Coturnix japonica: one gene and its partner. The protein of the gene in region 1 purifies or fractionates together with the protein of each later gene. This does not show direct contact. Links are inferred from orthologs where the notes say so. Each region holds a gene or a part of one and is shown on either strand. Other genes may lie near its edges. The genes, in order: COPE and SACM1L.

Region 1 (2,889 bases):
CAGGAATGTTTTGAAAAGCCAGGTGTCTGTACCTGGGTTTAATTGTAAGATCTCATTTCATAGTCTTTTATTACGTTGTAATGTTCTTCCAAACATTAAGTCGGTGTTCTGAAGTGGTTCTTTTGAAATGTTTCTTGATCTTTTGATCATTTAAGTGCTTCTTAATATTTAATATTTTTGCATTCCTTTCATCTGTAGTCTTACAGTGATCTCTCAGAGGAGACTCTGTGAATGACAATAGCTCATTTTATAACCCTTCAAATTAACTTCTTGGCCCCTTTCTTTAGCCACAAAAACAGAATACAGCCTTCTTAGCAATACACAGTGAAACTGCATGCTTGTGTCCTTTTGCAGGGTGGTGAGAAGTTACAGGACGCCTATTACATCTTCCAAGAGATGGCAGACAAATGCTCCTCCACCCTCCTCCTGCTTAATGGGCAGGCAGCCTGCTATATGGCTCAGGGCAAGTGGGATGATGCAGAGGGGGTACTTCAAGAGGCACTGGACAAGGTACTTAATGGTTTTGCCTGGCAAATTGGCTTGAATCTAACTATCTCTTACGCATAGAGGCTATAACAGCAAGGAATTTCATTATGCTTTATGAAAATGTCCCTAAGAGTGGTTGCTATTAACATCTGCCTTCTACTCTACCTGTTCTATTAAAGTGAGCTACGGGCTCGTCAGTTGTTCTTGCACAGCAGTGCCAGGTGTTACACTTATTGTGTTAGGGATAAGTCACAAAGACAGGTGATTGTTTTTCTTTCCAGGATAGTGGCCATCCTGAGACCTTGATCAACTTTGTTGTCCTGTCACAACACCTGGGCAAACCACCAGAGGTGAGGCTTATTTTATGGTACTCAAGAAGCAGATCAGGCTGCTCTGCCTGGGGGCAGGTTGTGTGTTCCTACTGTGCCTGATAACGTTTGGGTTTTGCAGTCTTGTGTTCTCACTGGGATTGGTGTTAAGAAAATAAAATAGATTTGGAGTTTTGGGGTGCGGGGTGGTATTCAGTATTCAATAAAGTCTGTCTGTAGACAGGGGTATGTACTTCAGAGGAAAACCTGGGGTGGAGAAAGAGATCTCCCAAGTTCTGAGCTTGATTTTCTCCTTTTGTTGAATCTGCTATTGAAGGTCTTACTGATTTAAATGGGGCTGCTAACATTGAGGGTGCTGAAGAAATCAGCTCTTAGCTCATTGAGAACGAAGTCATAGAAGTATCGGTTTAAACTTTTTTGGCTTTTCTTGGTGTTATTTCAGTATTTAAATCTCCCTTTTTCATCCCATCAGGTTACAAATCGTTATTTGTCACAGTTGAAGGATGCACATAAAAACCATCCGTTCATAAAGGAGTATCAGGCAAAGGTACTTGTTATTTTGCGATATGAAACTGAGTTTATAATGACTTACAGCAACAAGAGGATGGGGCAGAGGGATTTGTTACTAGTAAGCATGTCTATGGTTCTGAAAGGGTCGGCCCATGTTCCTTCTCCAGCATCTAACCACTGCCAGCAATGTTTCTAGCCCTTGTGAGATGCATTGGGAAATGATCAACATCCAGATTGAGTATCTATACGACATATATAGATGAAGTATACCCTGAATTTGGTGGCATCTGGAAAGAAATGCTTTGAGGTCCATCTAACCCAGATTACAGACTTGTTTGTTAGGTTGAGACACTGCTTAAATAGAGAAAATCTTCTGGATGAGAAAGAATGGAGGGGATGGGCAGAGGAAGATAACAGGGAAGGGAGAATGAAATCATAGAGAACTGATGTGGACAGTTTGCTTTTTAGAATTCATTTTGCCCTGGTTGATAGAACTCTATAGCTGAGAGTTACTGCAAGTTTTATGACATTTTTCAGTAATGTTTGAAATTAGTTCATTATATTTTTGTTTCTGGTTTGAAGGAGAATGACTTTGACCGACTGGCCATGCAATATGCCCCCAGCGCCTGAGGAGAGGGGAACAGAGCTGCTCTATGGTACCTGGGAAGTGGGGTTGTTATTCAGATCCTTTCTGGTCACATGGAAAAATGGCCTTTGCAAGTTGGGTCTGGTGTAACTCACTGTGGCAGGGTCTTGCAATGCAGGAGAGCGTTGCTAAGTCTGTATATAACGTGTAGCTACTTGAACTTGGTAGCTAAAAAGCCTGTGTTGTGGCTTTCTTGGGGTTTCAACTGTTTAAAATACGAATCAAGTTTGCAACACTGTACCTTAAACATTCCTAATAAAGCCTTTTCTGGATCTGTGTGCCCCTTAATTTACATTCTGAAATGTAAATTAGTAAACAGAAGTGATTCTGTTCTGAGCCATGTCATGTACTGAGGATGTTATACCTATGGGGGCAGAGTGTGAAGGTTCACTTCAAGTATCAGACTTGGGTTGGTGGATGAATCCTGAGTCCTGGCTGTTCTTTCAGTCTGATAATGACTCCATTTAGGTTAACGTCCTCCGGAAGAAGGATGCACAGCTGTAGGGGTTACTGCTGGGGAGAGGGAAAGCTTCCCCAGAATAGAAATAATCCAATTGTAACAGGCTCAGCCCTGATCTTAAGTTGATAAATGCAACATCTCGTGTCCTGGAGCCAGGAAAGCATTAGAGCTTTCTCTTAACAAAGTACATCCTGCAATACATGCAGAAGTCTATTTATCCCCAGTCATTCCTGAGAAACGTGATGGTCGTTGCACCTGACGTGTAATGGAACATAATAGAGCACCGTGTGATGATGCCTTGGACTCCCGTGCAGCATTTCAGGCTGCTCTTTGTGTTGGTTGGTTGTGTTGTGTCAGAGATACGAAGATCCCATCTGGATCCCTCAGCGGGGCCTCCTGAGCTCTAATATTTGATTTCTCTTTTGAATTTATCTTTTGGGAAGCGTTTTTGGGGGGGA
Region 2 (3,822 bases), on another chromosome or scaffold:
ACTCATCCTGCTGTTCTGCTAGTTGATCCAGTAAAATCTGAAGCCGATCCCATCTCATCCGACTGCACTCTTTATGGAAGTCAAATGCTATGTATCTGAACAGAGGAAGAAGCACCTTTTTAGCATACTTACTGCAGTGAAGGTCTCAAAAATCCACACATCCACAAAACAAGGCAGTGGCAGAATTTACACCTATGGATCTCATCAGTGCTCTGTAATCTTTCCATGGCTGCTTCCTTAGAGTGCACAGTGACAGTATCTACACTTCTGTAATGACACCATTAGCCTGAGACAACACTAGTTACTCATTTTAAGTTGTGGCTACTATATTTTCTCCCGAAAGCACATAAGAGAAGAAATGCATCTCCTTTCACCTGTGTCACTACCATGACCCTTGAATTCCCTCATTTGTTCTGTTTGTTCCATCTTCAGCCTCACCTGTGCATAAAATCTAAGGGGCAATGGCTACATAAAGGTTACTTCAAATGAACAAAACATCAACAAGTCAGCTGTTTAATAAAGGCCTTGAAAGCACTGATCACTCTGTTTCAGAGGCAACGCTGAGTTTTTAAGCTCACGAAAGTATAATTTGACTTCACGTGTACCTGACCATTCCATTTGCCATGCTAGTCACCATTTTTGCAAACGTCTGCTCCAGAGGCAGCTCAGAACCCTTTTGGTTAACCTGGAAAAAAGGGAAATAGAAAAAAAAATGAGAGCATTATTTATAAGCCTGCTTGAAAGAAGAGCAGCTTTCTCAAGAAGAACAAGGGAAAGCATACCAAGTTAACAATCATCTGCTTTCCATAGCTGATTATTTGAGAGTCAAAGTGTCTTTGGAAGCCATCCATCTAGAAAAGAAAGGAAATGCAATGACAGATTTAAGATCTGATTTACAAGAAACCCCTACAACCACTTTCCAATGATACTGCACACACAGTTTTATAGCACAGTGCTTGTTGTTCTCTACTGTGTTAACACACTTTTACTTTCAGTCCCCCACCCACACCCCCCCTTACCAGCTCTCCTTAAACAAGCTACAAGTATTTTCCAACTACAAAAACAAGAACCAAAGAGCAAACACTGCCCTCATTCAAACCAGGTGTTCTTTTGTCAGGTACTGAACTTCTTCCACAGAACACACGACTTCTCACTGCTACTCAATAATCCTCCATCTAATATTGCTGACTTTCACTCTTCTGATTACAGCCTGTCACACCACCCACCTACACAAGCCCAGAAATGCATTAAAGCCCCAAGACAAACACTCACATACATGATTTACTGACTTGCTGATCTGAGGCTTTGGTTTATATTTGAGGTTTGGTCTCTGAGACCAGAAAAAAGGAATTGATCCACGGGTCTGAAAAGAGAATGTAACAGTTTTAAACAACAAAACTTACTTGAGTTCGTAAAACAGAATGGTTTAGTTAACATATTTTTCAAATACAGACAGATTTATTAACACATGCCTTAAGCTAATCAGCAGTTTATTACACTGGCCTTACCTGAACAAATGATGCTTTGCTCCCCTTGTAATGCACAATTTGCTCTGTTTCAACAAAGTTAGCTGCGTGTCCTTCTGAATCAATACCTGGGTAGGATAGAGGCCTCGTTAAGAGCTCAGAGCACACCAGGACAGCAACAAGGTATGAAAAGGGTTTCTACCCTCAAAGCAAGTATGAAAACAGCAAACCTGCCTCAGGATGGCAAATTAAAAATGCCTCTGGCAGACCTTTAATATGATCTGTATCAAGTGTAGTTACTGAAGAGCCACAATTGTGCTCATCACATTTTGTGAATTATAGTCCTGATTACAGTCCTAGAAACTGAGTAGCTGAATAGGAAATAAAGCAACTGCTTGACACTAATAACTACAATTCAATAGCAAAGGTACTGCAGAAACTGACTTATTCCTTCAAAAGCATGCATTATTGAGACACACAAAACAAGCAGTGCTTCAAAGCTATTTCCCTTTCTAGTTTTTCACCTTTAATAATTAGAGAACATCACCGCTCAGGGCTGCTCTGGCAGCACCAGTGATGCTCTGTTTACTGCTAGGCCAGAAGGGCTGTGCTTGCATTTAACTCCAATCTAAGTGGGAAAGCAGTAGAGCTCCCTTACAGAACATGTACAGTAATCTCCATTTGCTATTTTACCTCTTACATAGTAGCGTACACCAGCTCTGAAACAGCTTCTTCTGGAAACAAGCAGCCAGTCAAAACACTTGCCATTAATAGAACAGGAATGCATAGAGATAACTGATGAATAACAATAAGGAAAAGAAAGCCAAACATTTCTTACATATCAGCAAACAGCCAAAGTGAAGGAACCAGAAGATAACACCCAAAGATGTATTTCAGGACTATAACAAATGTGGACCTGCTTTCAAATCCCCCACACACACTCACACAAATGAGAATGCACACCAAGCCTTCAGCAGGAACTTGAGTGATGTCTTCATTACCCAGGTAAGTCTACTATTTCTTCACACTGCAAGATTGGAACCCCACTCAAGATGCTGAACAAAATATATGTAGGTTTATATAGAAGAAGATCTGAGATTAATTAATTAGCTTGTAGTGAGACTATCACGGTTCTGCTTCAGGTTTCTCCTACCATTTTAATCACACACATGTTTCTTTGAATTCTTGGGCTCTTTAACACATTTGGTTAATGTCAGAATTACAGCACCGTGTATAACTTGTGCTAATTATTTATGTAATGAAAATAGGACAGAGGAAGGTTAACTGCAGAATGCCAATTGCTAATGGCAATCTATCCAGATTCTTCCACCCAGCCCCTGGCAGAGGCAGGATATGGGCTGCGCTGTTTTGACAGTTCCCTTTCACTATCTTTCCTTGACTCTCCACCTACTCCCACAACATTTTCCATTCAATGAAGTCACAGGAAAGAAGGACTGGAGATGTGCCAGCTGCTAACAGTCCTACCAGAACTACTGATACTGCCTGGAAGCCATTCCCCGCACACATCAGAGCAACCCTGCCAACAGAATGCTGCATAAGTTACTCTGTCAAGTCCTGGCAGTTCAAGAAGGAGTGGGTAAGTCAGAACCTGGGACCTGTTGATCACACACTGCTACCAGAGAGCGTTAAACTTGCTTACAAGGTTAAATTTTCTCCTTTTCTCAAAAGAAAACAAAACATCCCACTCAAAACCTTCAAGACTGATTTATTTGCTAGAAAGGTACTGGTGCAGGAAAAGCAGCCAGCTAGGAAGAGAGATCCAAGAGCCTTTTTATTCAACAACAGGAAGATTCACAAGTATTCCTCCAAATCAAAGCTAGTCTACCTTATTTTAAACTCAAAGGAAAACCTGCAAACTGCAGGTTTTCTTATACCAAAGTAAGAAGTGCTAAGGTTGACGTAAGAGTTTGCTACATTCACCCTAACCTTTACTTCCTTGAAAAGCAGTTATGCAAATCATGCCTGTAAAATCAATTACATGAAGCCTTCGAAGTAGAATATTTATACAAGTTAACATGTCAGTGGGCTACCAAATACATAGCATTCATATCTGAGCAAAACACCACTTAATTCTGACATTGTATTCTATGTTACATTACCAATGTAGCAACCCATGCAACAGTCATTTTTGCCACAGACTGCCAAATTCAGTACCGATCTTTACAGCAGGAAAGGATACATCCATGCATCACTGGCGTAGCAAACCTATGGATCTGAAACAGACAAGAAAGCCACACAATGCATTTAGAATTATTAAAAAACAGCAGACAAAAAATGGTAACTAATAATGGTTTCTCTGGAGGCTTTTAAGCGTAGTTTTATATGCTTGGAATTT

Evidence for each region.
Region 2: the proteins of COPE (region 1) and SACM1L purify together in Homo sapiens (affinity purification with mass spectrometry; 4 studies listed by BioGRID and IntAct, with this or other methods). This does not show direct contact. The link is inferred for Coturnix japonica from reciprocal best matches to the Homo sapiens genes COPE and SACM1L.

The regions. Positions count from the first base shown.
Region 1 is NC_029543.1:2,778,398-2,781,286, forward strand, and holds the end of COPE (coatomer subunit epsilon), read left to right. Parts: intron 1-354; coding exon 355-510; intron 511-767; coding exon 768-836; intron 837-1,287; coding exon 1,288-1,362; intron 1,363-1,907; coding exon 1,908-1,955; 3' UTR 1,956-2,259; downstream 2,260-2,889. UniProt on the Homo sapiens protein: The coatomer is a cytosolic protein complex that binds to dilysine motifs and reversibly associates with Golgi non-clathrin-coated vesicles, which further mediate biosynthetic protein transport from the ER, via the Golgi up to the trans Golgi network.
Region 2 is NC_029517.1:39,390,671-39,394,492, forward strand, and holds part of SACM1L (phosphatidylinositide phosphatase SAC1), read right to left. Parts: intron 3,701-3,822; coding exon 3,667-3,700; intron 2,262-3,666; coding exon 2,160-2,261; intron 1,595-2,159; coding exon 1,509-1,594; intron 1,364-1,508; coding exon 1,277-1,363; intron 852-1,276; coding exon 783-851; intron 686-782; coding exon 606-685; intron 96-605; coding exon 1-95.